Linked DNA regions of Drosophila melanogaster. The protein of the gene in region 1 interacts with the protein of each later gene in a pairwise test. Each region holds a gene or a part of one and is shown on either strand. Other genes may lie near its edges.

Region 1 (9,799 bases):
CATTTGGTCATTAGCAGAGCGCAGAAAGCTAAAGCCGCCGAGGGAGAGCCATAAATCAACCAAGTTCATTGATGTTTGGCGTTTGGCGGCTGGGAAAATCTCGTTAATCCGTACGCACAAGGTTCATTACAGGCTTTTAGTTAATGTGGCAGGCAAATGGGAAACAAAAATTAAAATATTAATTATTTTCAGTGTTAACATATAAGTTATCAATACATCTTCTTCTAACTTAAGTTATCTCTGGGTGATAGGTAGTTTAAAAAGTTATATTAATTTTAAAGCTAAGATCTAATGTATATTAAGAATATTTTTTGATAGTTGTTAAAGAATTATATTGCTAATCAGCATTGTTACAGTACACATTCCATTAGATGAAAAAACATACGGCCAAATGGCATACAACTTTTTCATCAGATTTCCTCAGGTTTTCCAACTCAAAGCTCTTGACTACGTGGTTCAGTTCAAAGTGAAGGGTATTCTGCATATTCATATTTGCATTCATGTTTGCCAGACTGTCGACTCATTTTCAGTCTCCACTCGAAGGCAGGGCATTCACCGAGCTTCTCCTCTTTGGGATTTCATTTAGTTTTTGTTTACAAGGGGGCGGCCAGGTGTTAGGGGGCGTGGCAGGAGGGCAGGCGGGAGGCGTAATGGAATGGACCACGACCTGTCACAACTTGGGTGAGTCTTCAGGTGAGCGGACGGACGCTGATGTCTCGTCTTGTTTGAACATTTTGAACATTCGTTGACGGCTGATTGTTGGACAAATGTTTGTTTCTCGGACTTTTGCCATGGCTTACTTTCACGGACGAACTTCATTTGAATCGCATAAATGAGTGATTGAATAAACTCAGATTTGCATATGAATAACACGGGAGATTCGCAGAAAGAGACGGGCATATTTTGATAGCAAGAGAGAGGTACACAGAGAACTTTTTTGGGCTATCGAAAAATGTGAGCGCAACTTAAACTCACAAAAGAAATATTTAAATCAAAGATTGCTCATAATTATTTTACAACTAGCTTAAATTTGGTAATAACTTTTTAAAACATTCTTAACTAGAATGAATTTATATCATACAAATTTCTTTGATTTATTTAAACGAACCTGTTTTTTCGTGCGACCTTTTAAACACCGATCGCCGAAGATGCCGAAGAATTCTTTTTAGACAGTTTAGCACATTGACTTTTGCTTTCTACTTTTCCTCTTCCATTTTCACACACACGAAAGTGAAAACTTGCCGTGTTTCGATTCTCGGCCGTTCGAAAATTTGAATTTGAATTGACGGATGGGGCAAGATATATTTAGGTGCCATGTGAGATCTTCGATCTTTGATGATCTAAACCGCTTCGACGGATGGATGAAAACGAAGCGTTTACCGTTCGATCAAAGTCTTGTAGACTGTTCTGCTTTTGATTGGCGAATACCGAGAAATAAAACAATGGAGCGAAAAGTAAAAGTATGCAAGATGTGGTCGCAGTAGTTCGAATATCGGAAGTAAATGAAATCTAAGCACCATAAGTCTACAAATATTTGTATATAATTGTTATAATATAAAATATATATAACTTGAAATGTATTGTATATATTTATTTTAAATTAAGTCAAATTCATTTAAAATTAACCCAGTTTTTATGTATTCCCCCGATTTTCCGTATTGCGCAATTACCCAAATATTCGTAAATCCGTATAGCAGTTTTATTTTCTTCTTTCGTTTTTATTGCCCCACCACAGTGCTATTAAAATTTTTTTGTTGCTGCGAGTGGTGCTGCTTAATGTTTTATGTTTATTTCCTATCCGCCGAGTGGGGCACACAGTTACCCACCGAACAAACTGTTTTCCAGCGCGCCCAAAAGAAATTATTTTCCTTTTTATGGCTTTACCCTTCAAAATCACTGAAGCATTTGTTGGCTGATGATTTCAGCTGTTTTCAAATTGTTAATTTTCGTACTTCGAATACTTCGCAGATTAATAGTCCACCAGCCGTTAAAAAAAAGCTAAGAGTGGGTCAGAAAAATTAATAGTACATTAAATAGAAATTTTCTTAGGAAATATTTTCAAGGACTTCTTTTGATTTTAGGACAATAAGCTATGAATAAGTACTTCCTGTTAGATGTGTGACTTTTACATCTGCTTAAATTATAGTGTAATATAATAATGTAATCTTTTGTCCTGGGAGAAATCTGTAAAACAATATTATTTAATTTCCTCTGGAGATTAGCGAAATCTTAACAATTTCTATAGAGATAGATTTACAGCAAACAAATTATAACGGTTCTGGCTTTATTATATTTATGGTAATTACAAATTAAAACACATATCGAAATACACACTCGTTGCGCAATTTTAGCGCCGAATGCCCACAGGCAATGTAAATACAATAAATATATTATCGATATGACTTGGGATGTATGTCACATCACTTTGATGGACTGAATGGATGCGATTTGGACAGCCTTCGGCCAGATGTGAATTTGAATTTGAATGGCAAGCGACAAATACGTGAAATGCGGATGGATGGTATGGATGGACCTCCATTATAATGTGCTCTGTTATATTTGCATTATAACTACGACTCAATGGCGGCCTTTCTAAGCCACCTAATGGCTCTCATCTCTGGCGTTTTCATTTTCATTGCTCTTTTTGGGTCACATGGCCCAGAGGGAAAGATATTACGCAGAGTTTGAGTTCGAGGTTGAGGCTAAGCACTTTAACTACAAGTTTTTAATTTTTCAGCAGCTGAATGTCACGTAATATTCGTATGACACCCGCAGCCTGAGCGCCATTGAACCAGAAATCGAGGCAACTCTTTACGCCATCTGCACACGCTTTTCATGAGTCACACAGCTGGAAAAGCCGGGTGGAAAAGTACGGAGGAAAAGCGCGCAGGTGGAGTTGCTCAATTGCCACTCAAGAAGCTGCAAGCCAGCCCCAATTCATTTACATTCGCCACGCCTGAGTTGAGCCCGTTCTAGGGGCACAAACTCTATATAGTTACATACTATAAAGTATATAGCATAATTGATATTTGGCATGCCTCGAGTACAATAGGCACTTCGTGTGGCAAATGATTTAGAAGGCAATGAGAACTATAAACACTAGGCGGATATTTTGCAACTTAATTGCATATTTTCTATAGAAATTAGCTAAACTTCGATCAAGGCAAATGGAAAACGATGATGAAATTGGCCTTAAGTAGCTGAAATAATTATAAAGACTATTATGTACTATAACAAATATGTTTTACAAAAAATATTTACATATTTAAAATATTTACAAACGTAATTTTAAATAATTCTTTTTATAGTTATAGGATAAAATATATTATAACATCTTCAACAATTCATGAACAGATAAATAATAAAAATATTTTCCAATAGATCAACGTGAAATTATAGTTAAGAGATATGATTAATTCGTTTCAAGTATTGTTTTATGAACCTATATTTGTACTATATATGTGGACTATAAAAGGGCCTATTTCACTGTCGCAATTGTTGGTTAATTTGGCCAATACAATGCCAATGGCCCGATGCCGTCAATTAGCCGAGAATAGAATTGTGAACTCGAATTGCAGAATGGCCAGCAACAGCGGTGATAATACCAACAACTATGGGCTTTAGTTAATATTACTATGCATGCCAGTGTTGTTGTTTCTGTTGTTGCTGACGCGTGCTCAGCCGAGTGAAGCGACGTCGACGTCGACGCCGTCAGAGGGTTGCCCCAGAGCAGAGTTGACATGGCAGTGAGCGTGAAAAATAAATAAATAATACAATCAGAGGGGCAGCTAAGCCCGCGACTCTTCAATATTGAGCAAACGTTGAACGTGCACAGAGAGAAAATGCTAGCCTGAGTCCGGGCAAAGTGGATGTAAATCACCTTTAATAGCTTCAGTCCGAACCTGCTAGAAAGTGATTTAAAATGAGTGAAAAGTAAGATAAAAATTAAAATGTTTAAATACGAAAATAAACTTGCAAATAAAAAGCAGTAAAGTCATACAATAAATCTAAGTTTTAGAAGTAGACCGTTAGTGAATAATTGAACAGTTTTACAAGTTGTCGATCCTGTCACACTTGAAATAAATAACTAAAGAAATAGGTATTAAATGACGCAGAAGTCACTCAAGTTCCTATTTAAAAAGGTAAAATGTTTTTTAAAAGTAAATTTGTTTTCATTTTGTTTTGAAAAATATGGTCATTTAGATTGTAAATATTGTATTTAATTTTTTTTTATTTGCAAAATTACAATTATTACTATTATTAAGAGTATTCATTATAGTTAAGTGTGTTAAAATTAATAAAAAAAAATTTAAGTAGATATTAAATGGGCATTTGCAATATTTGTAGCTGCGTGTAGCTGCGGCAGCAGTGGCATATCGGCAAACAAAGCGGCACCAACAACACCAGCAGCTCCAACAAAACAGCCCATAATCACAATTACAATAACAAAAACATTTACATCAACAATAACAATAACAATAACAGAGAAGAGCAGCAACAGAAAACTCTTAATCATGAGTGGCGTTTGGCTGGCAGCGCAGCTGGCGCAACGTTTTTGCATAGGAATCCGACTGCGGATTTTGAAGTTGTATCTTTTTTGGCCAGCGAACATTTGCGTCGCCGGCGTCACGGAGCGCGGACGCGACAAACGCGACATTGCCGAGCGGAAACCGGAAAACGAGCGGGTTTTCAGAAAATCAGAAACAGAACGCAATCAGTGACATAAAGTCAACTAGTTCGGGAATTTGGGGGAACGAATTTTCGGGGTGGGAACGAACGTACAAATACGTATATAGAACCAAAACCAGAAGAGGAACAAGCCACGAAACGAATCCAATGGCCAGTTGTGCGCCGGTGATCGTGTGGAACGGTGCTCAGTTTACGGCCAGCAGCAGGGAGCTGGAGCAGCTGCGTCGCGATTACGGTCTGGATGCTCGGATGTTGGAGGCGACACTGGTGCCGCGATATAAACGCCACAAGCCGCAGGCAGCGGCACGGAATGATCACGTTCGTGTGACCAAGGAGCAGCAATCGGATTGGATCCTCAAGCAGGATCGCAGCACCAACGTCAGCCAGGTGAACTTCCATCCCTGGGCGGGTGCTCACTTCGACTTGGTGCCCTGGCGTCGCACGCGATCCGCTTTGGATTTGACAGCAGTGGAGGATTACAATCACGGTCTGGTCGATCCCAAATCGCTGAAGGGTCTGGAGAAATTGGAGCTGAGACAGCAGCGCAGGAGGTTACAGCGCGCCAGGTCAACGCATCAGGGTCTCCGGCGATTGGTGCGCGTCCGCTTGATCTTCTCCATCGAGCTGCGGCACAAGCGGATGGAGGTGCTAAGGAAAAGTTCGCTGCCCGTGCGGGTTTTCGAGCAGCGCTTTGCCCTCTCGGAAAACGAGAGCGCCGCCTACGAGCGCATCCTGCTGGATGCCAATGCGGGAGTGGACCAACATGTGGGCTATTTTAGCAAGAGGCAAGTGGTTACATCCAACCGGGAATCCAACGAAGAGTTGGTGGTGGATTTCGCAAGCGAAACGGAGGCGGATGAGAAGGCAGATGAGCAGCCGGAAAAGGAGGAGGCCCAATATGCCACAATAGCTCCAGCGGAAAAAGGAGGCAGTGCAGCAGTGCCCGACAAGGAATCCGGCCAGGTGCCATGCGTCAAGTGCCGCGATATTGCCATCAAATTGAGGTAAAAGAAATCGCTAGAAAAAATAAACAAAAACGGCAAACCAGAACACAAATTAGCTGCAAAAATAGACGAGCGCCAAAATCAATTAGTTACAGTAATATGTCGATAAAGACTACAAACAAGTGCAAATTCTACAATAATATGGGAGTGCAAGAAATATCAATTTATTGACTATGGTTCTATATTTAGTGCTATATTTTTTTAAGTGCTACCCGAAATATTTGATATCAGTGCAACCTTTAAAAAATCTTTGGAAACTCGTATTATTATTTAATGAGTCTGTTGCCACGACAAAATCCGGGATGGGTATATAATTTATAGTTTTTACCCATCGGATTATGTGCGAACTTTTGGATCGAAAGCAGCTTGCAAATTTCCCACAAACTCTCCGGCTTTCCCATTTCATAAAAACCCACAGATCTTCATGAGTATAATTTCTTAAATGATTATTTTCTTCCGTTCTCTGTTCTTTCACTTTTTCCGAACTTTGACCATCCCCTTCCTCTCCCATACATATTTACTTAACTATTTATGTTTTTGTTTTGATGCTATGAACGAAAGGTTAATAGAAACAAACTCTAAAGTCTGTAGATTATTAAACTATTTGTATTGTTTAATACTCACTTAAAGCAGCTTGCCTTGAAAGGTTTATAATTTTGCTTTTTGAATTACAGTATTAACCGCATGGATGCGTTTGCCATGCTCATTAGTATCTTAGCCAAAAATATTTTGTATATAGGAGTATTGAGCAAATACATTTTTTAAATAGCTGCACGAATCAATAAGTCTAATGCGAACAGCCAATTGGAAATGTAAAATTTAGTTGTTTCACCTTTAAAATAAGTATTTACTTTCTGTTTACTTGAGTTATATCACGAGCCAGCGATCAAATGAAGCCAAAAAACAGAGGGCACCTCTTAACACCCTTAAAGATCATAATTTTCTTAACCCCCTTTGCCACTTCAGTTGACCAACTGGCCTGCAATGCTATTGCCAAATAGCTTATTTCACTTTTTTCTTTCTCAGCTAAATGTTTGTGAGTTTTGTCGGATTGTTAGCTTTGTTGGCTATGTTGGCTTTGTGGTTTTCGTGGGTTTCATGGGCTCGGTGGCACCTGCCCTGTTTTGTTGACACCTGCTACCGGCCCGCTTCCATTTTCCATTTGCCATTTGGTGTGTTCGGCGATGCCAGCGTTGATGCAATAAACTGGAAGAAAGTGTCGTCTTCGCGGCTTTCTGTTTCTTTTTGTTGCCACAAGAGGAAAGCAGCGACAAACGAGCAAAGACAAACGAGATCCATCCACAAATGCCCGGTATTTTCGCATTTTAATGCTGGCGGCGCTGCTTCTCAGCTTTCAATTAATGTGTCGCCGTGTGTATTGTTTCTCTTAGCATTATTATTATGATTGTTATTGTTTATTTGTGCCGCGGAAACGGCAATCAGGTGAGTCAGCAGCAGACTTGACCTGGTTTAGTGATTCGGAAAAGGGCACTCAGTGAATCCAAGTGCAGCCCAAGATGCGCACAAAGATGCCATCAAAATTAATAACCATCACTTCCCCCGGCCAATTAATTAATTAAAAGTTGTGCCTAAATGGCTGTCAAGCAAACAATTTAATAACAATGAGCAATTTTCGTGGGCTATATTGAACATGCTACTAGATTTGCAACAAGAGTAAAAAAAAAACAATTAGCTATTAGTAAAGAGAAAAATGAAATAAAAGTGAATTTTAAGGAAATTTGTAACTAATTTGCTTCGCAACAAAGGTAAACTTATATATTATTTAGTGTTCCTAGATATTAGTAAAAAGGAAGGCGTTAAATGAATTTCAATAATATATTAAATATTTAGTTTTAAAATTGTGTTGCACTTTCTTGGCAAGTTCGTGTCTTAAGTCCTTAGCTTAGTGTGTAAGTTTGTGTCTTAAGTCATTTGTTTGGGGTGCAGAAAAGTAGACTGCAATTGGAGATACAAAGCAAGCTGAAAAGTATGCAATATTTTTTCTCTGCTGACCCTTGTCAAAGGAGATCGGGAAATGAGATCCCTCGGTTGCCTTCTATTGAGCCTCCTTGGTGGGCGAGATCTGTTAAGAGCGCTGGCCAGCCGATTTCTGTCGCGCTCCAGCCTGTCATGGTATCTGCTCGAGTGCTGGTTTATCTCGTCAAATACCGTTGCTAGTTTGAGGTCTTTGTGCAGGGTTGTGTTCCTTACGAACCATTCTGCTCTACATAATTTGGCTAATAAGTCATTAAGCTACTTTCTTACAAATTGTTAATTATTCTATTCCTTATTCCTTTCCATCCTGCAGAACCATAAACGATTATGCGCTCAATTCGAATCTGCACCTAAGCCACAACACCAAACTAAACAATCTGCACAGCAACAAGCTCCTCCACAGCAACCAAAGCCACAGCAGCAGCATCAATCCGAGCACAAGGATGCACTCCCACCAGCTGGATTCCTACCTGGGCGGAGTGGGCAGTATGATGAATCTGGGCGGCATGGGCCAAGTTGGCCAGATGTACCATCCGGGGAGCGTTTCCGGCAGCGAAAGACCCAACGGAGGAGCTCTGGCCCTTCACTATGCTGCCGCACGTGGTTGCCTTGATTGTGTCCAACTGCTGGTCGCCGCATCCGTGGATATTTGGTAAGTAGATGAGTTACTGTCCCAAAGGAGTATAGTATATGATGACCAAAAGTTGCATCGCGATTTGAGTGCGGGGTGAAAGCTCTTGCACCAGCCGTTCATTGTTTTTATGTGTCGGGGAAATCGCTCGACGATCGATGGCTCCACTTTGTGTTTTATTTTTCCCCCATCTGTCTGCATTTCCATTCGATGCGGTTTCTTTCCATTTACTTGCGACAATTATTCTCATTAGGGGTTTCTTATCTGATTCGATTAGTATAAGAGCTGAAACAAGTGAATTAGTGGCTGTGGAAATCTAACTAAATTTGGACTTGGTTATAAAATCCATTTCGAAACGTATGGTGGTAATTATAGCAATGCTTTAAAAACAAGATTAAGAGAGAAAAACGACCAATGTATGTATATATATTTTGAAAAAATTAAAGAACTGGTAATCAATATTTTAGAATACTCTTTTCTTAAGCGAAAATGATATTTGGCAGGTTTATATAGATTTCCAAGTATCAATTCCGTACAAACGTATTATTAAAAGTATTATATTGTTCGATTTATGTACACCATTTTGCCTAGTTGTAATAATCATTCAAATGGAAGCATTTAAGTGTATTAAGCCTTCGTAACGATCTGATTATCATAAACTGAATCAACGATGATGTCGATTTGAGAATTTATCTACCTGGTAAGCTGGGAGTAGTCATTAAATGCACTAATTAAAACTTATTAGCCCATCCAACAAAGTAGAAAGAATGAAGGCGAGTGGTGAAAAACTAGGAAAAAGGCAAGGAAAACCTGGCGAATATCTTGGAAAATCTATCCGCTAAGTGGGTTACCGATCCGTGGCCAGTGTTTGATTCACCTAAATTCCTGTGCTCCAACAGCAGCACGCGTCCAAAGCTGATTCATTTAATTGGGAAATGGGAATGGGAATCCAACTGGCCAAGGCGAGCCAGCCAAGCGAGATGCACTCCATCTTCAGCCCTCCTTGGCCCCCTGAATCGCCTACGATCCCATGCCATCCCATCGAGTCCAGGCCAGGTTTGGTTCTATCGTGTGCTATTTTCAATTGGAGTCAAACTGGAAAACTCACAGCGGCACAAAGCACCGTTGCAACAAGTTTTCCTCACTCGCCACGAAGTGGAGCAACTCCGGACTGACTGGCCAAGGAATCAGAATTGGACTCAGAATCACAGTCGGAATCGGAGTCAGAATCAGTGCCACTGCCTGATCCCCACCTCCCTCGATCGTCCCCAGCTATATTCATATTTACAAAGCGCCAAGGCAGATCAATTGACATGACAACTGACATGGCGACACAGAAAAGAGCGAGAGATGAGAACGAGGGCGGCTCTGTGTATAAAATGTATTGTACAATAACTCGTCCCTTTTTAACGTTAATAATAGGGATTTTTAAAGTATTTTTATTTAATTATTTAGGCTAAGGAACAAAGGGTATTAAGTA
Region 2 (9,881 bases), on another chromosome or scaffold:
GAAAATTTAAGTTCTTAGAATAAAAGGAACATATAGAAAACTTAGTTAAAAGAATACCATCTTGAAACTTAAAAAATAAATATATATTTTTTATCTACTGAATGAAATAAAAGCAATCACTTTGTTTATTTCCCTGCTTTGCATTGCCCGCCCAGAATTTCCCTGGCGAAAATTCCCAGTTATTTCAGTGCTCTGCTAATTATGAGAAATTCACGTCGGCTCTAAACACTCGAAAGCCGTCTAGACGTCTGCACCTGTGCTGCAAACTGAATGTGAAAAGGGCGGGCGGGCGGTAGTGGGTGTGGCTGAGAAAGCCAAAGTAGAAGAATAGAGGGGGATTGGCAGTGTGGGGAGTAAGCCAAAATGCTTAGCCAAAGCGGTTACCATTTCATTTGCACAAGACAACACACAATGGCCCCAAACCCAGAGGTGGCTGTCTCCTTTTGATTGTCTGTGTGTATAATTAAAACGCATATGCATGGTAAATACACTTATTGTCAGCACTGTAAGCCGTCTGAAATGCCCCCGGGGCATCGGGATGCAGCTTTAATTCCACATTGCAGCCATGAATGAAATGCAGGGATGCTTTAGACTGTAGAGGAAGTTTTTTGGGGGGGTGAAGAGTTGTGCAAAACATTTTCAACTCAATTTAGTTCATTTTATGGCAGCAGCAATGCGCTGCGCAAGTTCATTTTGTTGCAAAATAGCGAAATGCAAAAAAAAAAAAAAAAAACGAAGAGCGCACTCATAAAAAAGCATCAAAAGAGCAGTCAAAACAGCACTAGACATCCCAGTATCCCAGCATCCCAGCATCCGAGTATCCTAGTTATATGGCCTGGACATCGCCCAAAAGCTGCCAACAAAAACGCAACAAAATGCGGATGCGGTAACTGTTTCCATTTTTGGTTAAAAACGAGGTGGTAGCAGAGGTAGGTATTTCCACAGTGCAACTTCATTTGATGGCTCATGTGTGAGTGCGCCACATAAACGCTTCAAATAGTTTTAAAACCCACACTTTTTATACCCTTGTACAGGATATATACATATACAACTGAAGTTTAATGAGCGAAAAAATGTGGGCAGGTAAAAGAAAACAAATGAATATTAGAGTGGATAGTTGAAAAAATTATCGTAATCAAACACCAAGCCGTATTTATTGAAAATATCAGCCATTTCAATTTTTTAACCAAATATAAAAAAGTTTGAATTTCATAAAAGAAATTTGAATGATGTGATTATATATCCTGTATTATTTAAGTGTACAATTACGTATGAGTATTTACAGCTCTATTACCCTCAGCCCTTTTTACCCAGATGGTATTCATTTATTTTTATTTTTTTTTGCTAGTTTTGGCCACCTTTATGGGAAAATTGCCCAGCAACTAAAACATTCTGCGGCTCGCTTAATTTTCCATGAATTCACAGAGTCCAGCTGCACGTCTTGTTGCCACTTAAGTGCGCACAAAGCCGCAAGTTCCTTGCCATATGCAACATATTTTGGCCAGACAAAAGGGAAGGCAAATTTTGGTCTTTAGCATGCTTAGCCTGAGTCAATTAGGCTAGCACAAATACGAACTAGCTCACACATGTACATACATACATAGATATGCAACGGCGAGCAGTCAGGCAATGAATGAAAATTTAATTAAATTTCACCTTAAAATGATGGGCAAATTGAAATTAACGTTAAGCGAGTTGTTTGCATCAATTTAAGGTGATTGAATTATGGCAAACGACAAAATCTGTGGCCTAACTGCATTTGCAGTTGATTGATTGCATTTGGCCCGTTGCCTGTGCTAATTGCTTTTGCAACATTTTGCGACACTTAGCTATCGGTTTTCCGTTTTTCCTTTTCCCGCTTTTCCCCTGTTTTTACTTCTCTATCTCTCTGTTCTCGGCGTTTTTCCATCACCCTGCGAGCGATAAGCGGACTTCCTCAGCTGTAATCAGCAACGCCTACATTAAGTGGGTTCTATCAATCGGATGTTACATAACTATGCACATATTTGCCAAAGCACTGCGACAAAAAATGGCAATTTCTAGTTGGATTTTTCATTGATTTGGGGTGCGTGGAAAAGTTACTTATTCAGCTTAACTTAAAAACCCCTGAAAACACCCCCTAGTTACTCAAAAAATAGCACTACTTGCACTTCTCGCACCTAACATTAAATATTAATAATTAGAGTCGAAAGTTTTTATTTCAGTCACTATTTCGAGAATGCCCCTTTCTCCAAGTGGACTTGGCAAACTTGTCCAAGGCGAAACGTGATTTTCCTTCCGTTCGTTCGCTGGCCAACTAAAACTTGGCCAAAAGGGTCCGCTTTAAACACACTTTTAATGATGTTGCCGCCGCCGCTTGTAGCTTCGCAGGGAAGCAATATTAAGCCCCACTTGCAACTGGAGGTGTCGGGAACGGCACTGCACTGCACAGCACTGCACTGTATTGCATTGAAATTCAATTTCGCGGCAAAGTTTCCATTGTGAGCAGCTCCACGTTGCTCCGTGCTGACATGCTTTGGGTGGTTCCCCAGTGCTTGACTAGAATCCCGGCTCAAAGCCAGGTAAATCCCCACCCAACAACCCAACAACCCAACAGCCAGCCATCCGCCCGGCTCAACAGGAAAGGGGTGGTCTCCATTCGACCCGCTATGTGAACAGCTTTTGACATTGCCGTCATGATGAAGTGGAACGCACAGCTGAAGCCCCACCCCAGCTACTGGCTCTAAAAATACAAAAAAAAAAATAAACCCAGAAGAAGGAAATATAAAAGCCGGGGGCAAGAACTCGGCTATCCCTTTATCGCTTTTGTCGTTTTAATGGGTCAGCAGTGTGTGCCTATACAGTTTGACAAAGACCACGAGCGAGTGCGAAGCTCTTAAAGCTGTTGCATTTGGCCAGAAATCAGACAACGCGGAAGCCATTAATCCCAAGCTTCATCCACCATTTGTGGCAATAAAAACTATATACCAAGAGAGTTGAAAATAAATAAGAAATGACTGCTATAATTCTAAACTGTCTCACTTGGCCATGTTGCGTTGCTCAGTTTTATTTGCTGCACTTTTTGCTAGATGAAGTTTAGAGCAAATGAGTTCATTACTCCTCTGGCTTTGCAAATTTGATATGTATGTGTTTTAAGCTTATAGAAAACCATTTAACGTATTGGTATGCTTAAGAGTTTCCAGTATCTACAAGCTTGTAAGCACTATATTAGTTAGTTAGTTGGATGTAAATGCATTAAATACCATTAAGTGCTATGGATTGTGTGAATCTATTAGTTAGTTTCTATTTTTCCTTCCTTTTTTTATGACTACAGAAACAATTCAACCTTTGGCTACCTGCCGGTCAAAAAATGAGTCAATAATCAGGGGTTTGGCCTTAATAATGAAGTCGCAGCACCTTGTGCGTGTATCTTTGTATCTTTTGTGAGAGAAAACAAAGGGGAAGAGCTATCCGGCAGATAAAAATAGAATTTTAGGGTACAGAGTGGTGGAAACATCTGTCAAACCGCTGAGTCAACCAATTGAAGTGGCCGAGGTGGCGACAGAGGACGTTGCGGCCGCATTGGTACTCACAAATGCCATAGAGAGGCATAAATTTTGTACTACCCTAAAATAAAGTGCAATTAATTTCATTTAAATCAATGAAAATAGTGCTTTTTCATTTACAGACGGGTAAAAGAAGAAGAAGATAAAAAAAAACATGCAATAAATATTCCGCATCAACGGGGGAATTTATAGTTGACATTTTAGAGTTTTGTTGTTATTCAGTTCGGTGGCTTTTGTGGTTTAGTTGGTTTTACCTTAATTTATGGCCCGCCGATCGGTTTATATAGTGCATCTGGTGCAAATGTCCAACCTTCGAACTTTGTAGCTCCTTCTGCATGCATTTCGGACTTATCCCATATAGATTTTGCTATATAACTCCCGGAAAAGTATGCGCAAGCAGCTTGAACGATTCCCTAATCGTCTCACGTTTTCCTTTAGGGCAAGTGCTTAGCTATTGAGTTTACAGCGCAACATGCGGCAAGGACCAAAAAGTTGTTGTCGGCACGTGAAGTTTTATGCTGCACTTATGGCTTATAGTTAAAGATATAGTGGAGACAAGGGGGACGGCATGCCAGGCATTCCGGAACGTGGACTATTAGAAAATGTTTACTGGTCTTGACCCGGATTGCTGTTGTTGTTGTTGTTGTTTGGCCAGCCTGGCTAAATGAGATTTAAATTTTTTATACAACATTTTCTGCGTTCTTGATACTTGATGGCTTTTTGCTGTTCTCTAGCCACATTCAATGTATGCTGGGGAACTTTTCAATCAACCGCACGATGATAAATGAATGCTGGCCAAAATTATTGGCAAAATCCAACATGGCTTAGACATAGAGAAGTGAATAACCTGTTTGTGGCCGCTCGTAGATGAATTTTAAATACTTTTAGGCTTTAATGACTCAATAAAGCTGGCCAAGTCTACGAAACAGAGGGCTTGTAAAAAAATACAGCGGAAAATCTAGGTAGATTGAACATTTAAATGGTAAAGCATTCACATTTTTCTAGAGTGGTAGGGGAGGGGGGGATTAAGGGAACCCAGTCAATTATATATCATTCAGGATTTATCTCTGTGGATTATAGGACTGCATATGGTTAAAATATGATTACATTATTGGTATTTGTTTAAACATGAAATATGCATATGAATAGCAACAATTCACAATTGCGCGGACCAGCAATATTCACTATGAATGCACCGCATTAATATGCAAATTATAAAAAACAACAACAATCACAATGCTCCGAGCCAGAAATGGAAAATGGCCCAAACCGAAACGAAAAAATATAGTTGCAATTGAAATCGAACCAAACGAGATAAATAATAAAGGCACAAAGAACATGTGCGAATATTATGGCAAATAAATTACAAATTTGTTGTTGCCTGAAAGATTGAAAAATAATATTGGCCGCAGTTAAAAAAGGGGAAAAAGCTGTCTTATTCGTGTAAGCCGACGATTTAAGTACCCTGTACAAAATATAAGTAATGCGAAACAATTTTAATTCATTTTTTTCATACATACTTAAGTTATGATCAAGTTGTAAAATAGCGTTTTAAATAATGTTTTCATTCTTAAGTTTTAAGTGTAACGAACATTAACATACATTTCACATAGTTTTTACGAAGAAATGTGAACTAGTAAAAGATTTTGTTAACATTTTTTTTAATTTTTAAAGCCCCTCGAAAAAAGGGCACAAAAAGTGAAAATTTATTTTACAAGTGTGTTTTAATCCGTGTTCCCGCCCCTTTTTATACCGTTAGTTGGCTAGTTACCTGCGCCGTGTTTCCCGTAATTGTTGTTCCCCTGATCGTTTCCAGTGCAACAGGGACGCTCGTAGTAGAAGTTCCAGGTGTTCTCGTAGTCCGCAGCTGTCTCGCTCACACTACTGCAGAGGAGTAGCAGGAGTGCGAGGAGCGGCGATAGCTGTAGAAGCGACATTGCGAGGGCGGTGCGAGCGAGAGGGGTGGTCGACCGGGGGCCGAATGCGACCCCACCAACCTCAATTGGATTAAAGTGCAAGAGCGAGCGAGAGGCGGTTGCTTGTTGATTTTACCGTTTGATGAATAAAAACCGGCACGTTTTTTCCCACGAATAACTGTTAACACATTTAACTTGTATTATTTTTACACACTTTTGCGGCAATTGCAATGGAATTGATTTCACTGGCAAATGGATTTTAAAATAAACTTCTTTCCTTGGGCGATTTATAGCACCCCTCTGCTATTTTTTTCTCCTTATATATATATGTTTTTTTTTTGGACCCGCAGTCGTAGTGCCAATTTCGTTTCGGATTAATTATGTATGCGTTGCAGGCGCATAAAGGCGTAATGCATTTTACACAGTTCTGTGTTCAATTCGGTTTTCAATTCGATTTCAACGCATTTAGCCATCGGAAAGCATGTGCGATATGAAGATAAAGGCAAAAGGAAACGTTAAACTGGTTTATTATATGCCCACGCATCGGAAAAACAAAAAAAAAAGCAACAATATTGGGAAACAATGAAAATTCCTCAACGCTGGAGAGTGGGAAAGAGACAAGGAAGGTGAACGAGCGCGTTTCTTAAAGTTTATACTATTTACAAGGCACTGCATCAATAAATAAATGATGAATCTGCAAATATTTCCTTGCTTTCAGTTTAAAATTTGCCTTTAACCCACACGCACACAAACTTGCTCACGCACTCACACACACACACATACGCAACAACAAAGCCAGAGATACACACTTGAGTTGTTGTTGGGAGTTTCGGTTTATTGGAATTTCGAAAATCGAACTCCGAATTGAATGAACTGCAAAACGCCAATTAGATAGTTGCAAGCCTAATGCATTTCAGATATTTTACCGATGCGAAACAAGTTCCGCCACGAAAGGGAACACTGGTAAAATGCCCAAGAATCTCGAGCGGAAACACCAAACACAAAAGAACAACCGACAACAAGTAGAAGTGAGAAAACAACAACAACGCACGATCGCTCCGATCGCGCAGATGTGAGAAAAACGCTAGCGCGTTTAAGTCGAATGACTATCGCAGTCACGCGTTTGGGTTTTTGGTATATACCAACAATGGTGATCGTGTTTGAAAATAATATTTAAAATATATATAATTTGCATAACTTTTTCTCTTTATATCAGAAGTTTTAGATTTTATTTTGGCTAACTTTGAAATATGCTTTCTTATTTTTGTCTGTTTACAATGCGCTTGCTTTTTAAGTTAGTTAATATATAATATAATATTTTCTTTGACGTATTCAAGCCGATTTTAACTATTTCTTAAATTATTCTTAAGAAAAGGTAAAAACTGTTGACACAAAACTTTGTTTAATATTCGTGGAGCGTCGTGGATTTTCATTTGTCGATATAATCCTTGCTCCTTGCCACAAAATGCCGTTGCAGAATGGCGGTATTCAATTTTCGTACTTCACCGTGCGGAAGCGGCAAAGTGATTTTTAGCAAGGACAACAAGGACAACGACAATTTTGGCAATAGGCAAACATTTGCCAACCCAGACACACACAAAACGGGCGGCAGGATGGATGGATGGATGGCAGGTATGCAGACGAATCCTTGCATTTAGCAGCCTCGAGCGGCAATTAAACGCAGTTTGCTAGTGTCTCTGGCATTTGAGTGTCTGCTTGGCAAAATATTTAATTAAAAAGCAAGTCGGTTATGTTTTCGCATCTCCTTGATATTTTCTATTGTACGGGTGCCACCTGTGCGTGCTTTCGTTTCCATCAGTGGCGTAGGGGCTGTAGTTTATTCAATTATTCAGCTGAGATGTTAATGATGATTGTTTGAGGCACTGATCAGCTCAGGTGGTACGTGACCATCAAAGAAAAAAAAGGTAAGAAACTTATAATATAGTGCAAACGTTTCCAACTAAAATTTAATAATTTTGATCGCAATCATTGGCTAACCCCCACAAGAAATCCTTGCGCACGCCACTGGTTGATTGTGTCTGCCTGGCCTTTTCTCTCTGTTTGCCTGCTAATGAGTTTTCGCAGAATCACCACACTAGTCGTCCCCCTCGCACCCGACCGTGCGACCAAAGGAGCACTTGCATCATGATACTGTTGAAAATTTTTGACACATGTTCACTCACTCTATCCCTCTATTTCATTGCCTCTCCCTCTCTCACACTCACTCTCGTTCTAGCCCGCATTGTTGTTGCCGCTTTGTAGTTGCTTTGATGTTGGTTGCCATTTTTGGGTTTTTTTCCCTTTTTCGGGGGATAGCCTTTCAAGTGCAGCAGCGACAACGTCGCCATTGTCATTTGTTTTCGCAAACGTTTCTTTCACACAATGTCAACTTTCAACAAAGGACTTTAATTAAGTCCTTAATGACAGCTTAATTTAGCGCACTTTGCACAGCGCGTATGCCCCAACACGTACACAAACAAAGGCACAACGCACTCACACGTAGCACATACTCGCACACGTATGTATGTGTGGGAAAAAGATGGGATGTGTTTTGTTTAGTTCTTTCGCTTTCTTCATCTCGGAATCCTTTAGTTGCGGTCAATTAAATAATAATTTCAAATCTAAAAAGTACACGTCATTCCATAAGAAGTCATGCAACAATTTAAGGGACGAAAAGAGAAATTCAAGTAAAATGAAATAGTTGCCAATCAACCACCCTTCATATAAACATAAAAACTAGCATTCGTTTTGCTTATTATTTTGTGATGCAATTTATTACTTAATAAATTGGGAGAGAGCCTAAATAGCATTTTGATTGTGCCAAATAATACATGGAACTTGTCTCGCCAAACATTGTTGGTCGCTCAACTTGTCAGCGGCCGGCAACTTTCATGCATTATATAAAAAGTTGGCCAAATAACCAGCAGCGAACCACACCAACACACTGACAGACACACACACGCACACACATACACAGCTTGAGAAAGCGATAAAAACCATTTGTTGTGAATGTCCTGTTTTGTTATTTGTTGTTCTGCTGCTTGTCCTTTGTTGTGTTGTTGTCGTCCCAAGTTGGCTTACTCAAGATACTTACAAAGATTTCAATGCACTTTCTTCCTACCAACTTGTTCGCGCAGAAAGCCAAAAAGCCAAAAGAAAAATAAAAACTGGACTGACCAACAAGAGCAGCAACAACAACTGCAGTGAAATAAGCCTATAGAAGATTTGGCTCAACTGAAATTATAAAACATTTAAAACGCAAGGATATAGCTTTATTTTCGGCTAAAAATTATATTTTTCCGTGCTTGGGACTTCTGTACTTGGTTTTATAAATCTAATGAATATGCTCATATGTCCTAAAAAATAGAACCAATTCACAGATATATTTACAGCTAAGAACTTTATTTTGTTTTTAGCATTGAGATACTCCTTTTATTAACTTTCCAAGTTGTTGCATCTATCAAGGTGCTCTTGTCAAAAAAGCAAACAGATTCCTGTTACCGTGTGTTGACTGTACAAAGGCAGCGGCATCGGCGACGAACAAGAACAAGAACGATTTGACTTCTGGAAACTGTCAGAGCAAGCAAATGGCACTAAATATTAAGTTTGCCGTTGGAACTTGACCAGAAAAAGTAAACTACGAGGAAAACTTGGCCGGCCAGAACTAATGAAAGCTTTCTGCAAGTGTGAGGCGTGATGGTGTGCGTGTGTGTGTGTATGTGTGTGGGCTAAAAGTTTTTGCCTTTTGGCTCGACCACAGAATTTCTCATGAGTTGGCGCTGCGGCTGCGGCTGCACTTGTTTCAAGTTCAATTAATTTTAAGTGCGGCAGCAATTGTGTTGCACATTGTTGTGCCTCCACTCGTTTGTTTACAACGACTCTGCACTCGGTGTGTTTTTTGTGCCTTTGGGCCAAGCTCTGCAGTTTTTTTTTGCCTTTTTACGCCATTCGGATTCAACTTTGGCCTGACATGCAATGTCAGCGCCTGTGTTTATGCTATAAATAATGCAGCATATTTTGCATAATGACAAGTTATCGCACACAAAACATAATTGCATGTATTTGTATTGCAGACATTATGACGTCACCTTAACGATGGCGGACAAGCTTTTCCTTTTACCCCTCTTGAGCTCAAATGTATCTACAAGTCGCAGACTTTGTATCTTTGAGATGCTTGAGACCTACGGTAAGTCAGAACTTGGAAGTAGCGATAAGGCGTATCAAACATTTATAATTCATAATATATATATTGAAGTAATATATATTGAAATAATACATATATGTTGAAACAATGTTTTCAAAAAATTCTGCTGCAGCATAGATGGTTCTTAAACAAGCACTATAATGCGACCACGATTAGATTGACTGAACTTAAGCGTAGATCCCACAGATCAGATCACCTACCTTCGAAGTGGGTGAC

What was found.
Region 2: the proteins of f (region 1) and Sema2a interact in a two-hybrid assay, tested with the Drosophila melanogaster proteins (one large-scale study listed by BioGRID).

The regions. Positions count from the first base shown.
Region 1 is NC_004354.4:17,254,639-17,264,437, forward strand, and holds the start of f (forked), read left to right. Parts: upstream 1-4,735; 5' UTR 4,736-4,836; coding exon 4,837-5,693; intron 5,694-8,001; coding exon 8,002-8,340; intron 8,341-9,799.
Region 2 is NT_033778.4:16,512,777-16,522,657, reverse strand, and holds the start of Sema2a (semaphorin 2a), read right to left. Parts: upstream 6,509-9,881; 5' UTR 6,388-6,508; intron 6,205-6,387; exon of another isoform or gene 6,125-6,204; intron 5,739-6,124; exon of another isoform or gene 5,640-5,738; 5' UTR 5,483-5,639; coding exon 5,317-5,482; intron 1-5,316. UniProt on the Drosophila melanogaster protein: Ligand for transmembrane receptor PlexB. Plays a role in growth cone guidance. Required for both proper adult behavior and survival. Can function as a selective target-derived signal that inhibits the formation of specific synaptic terminal arbors.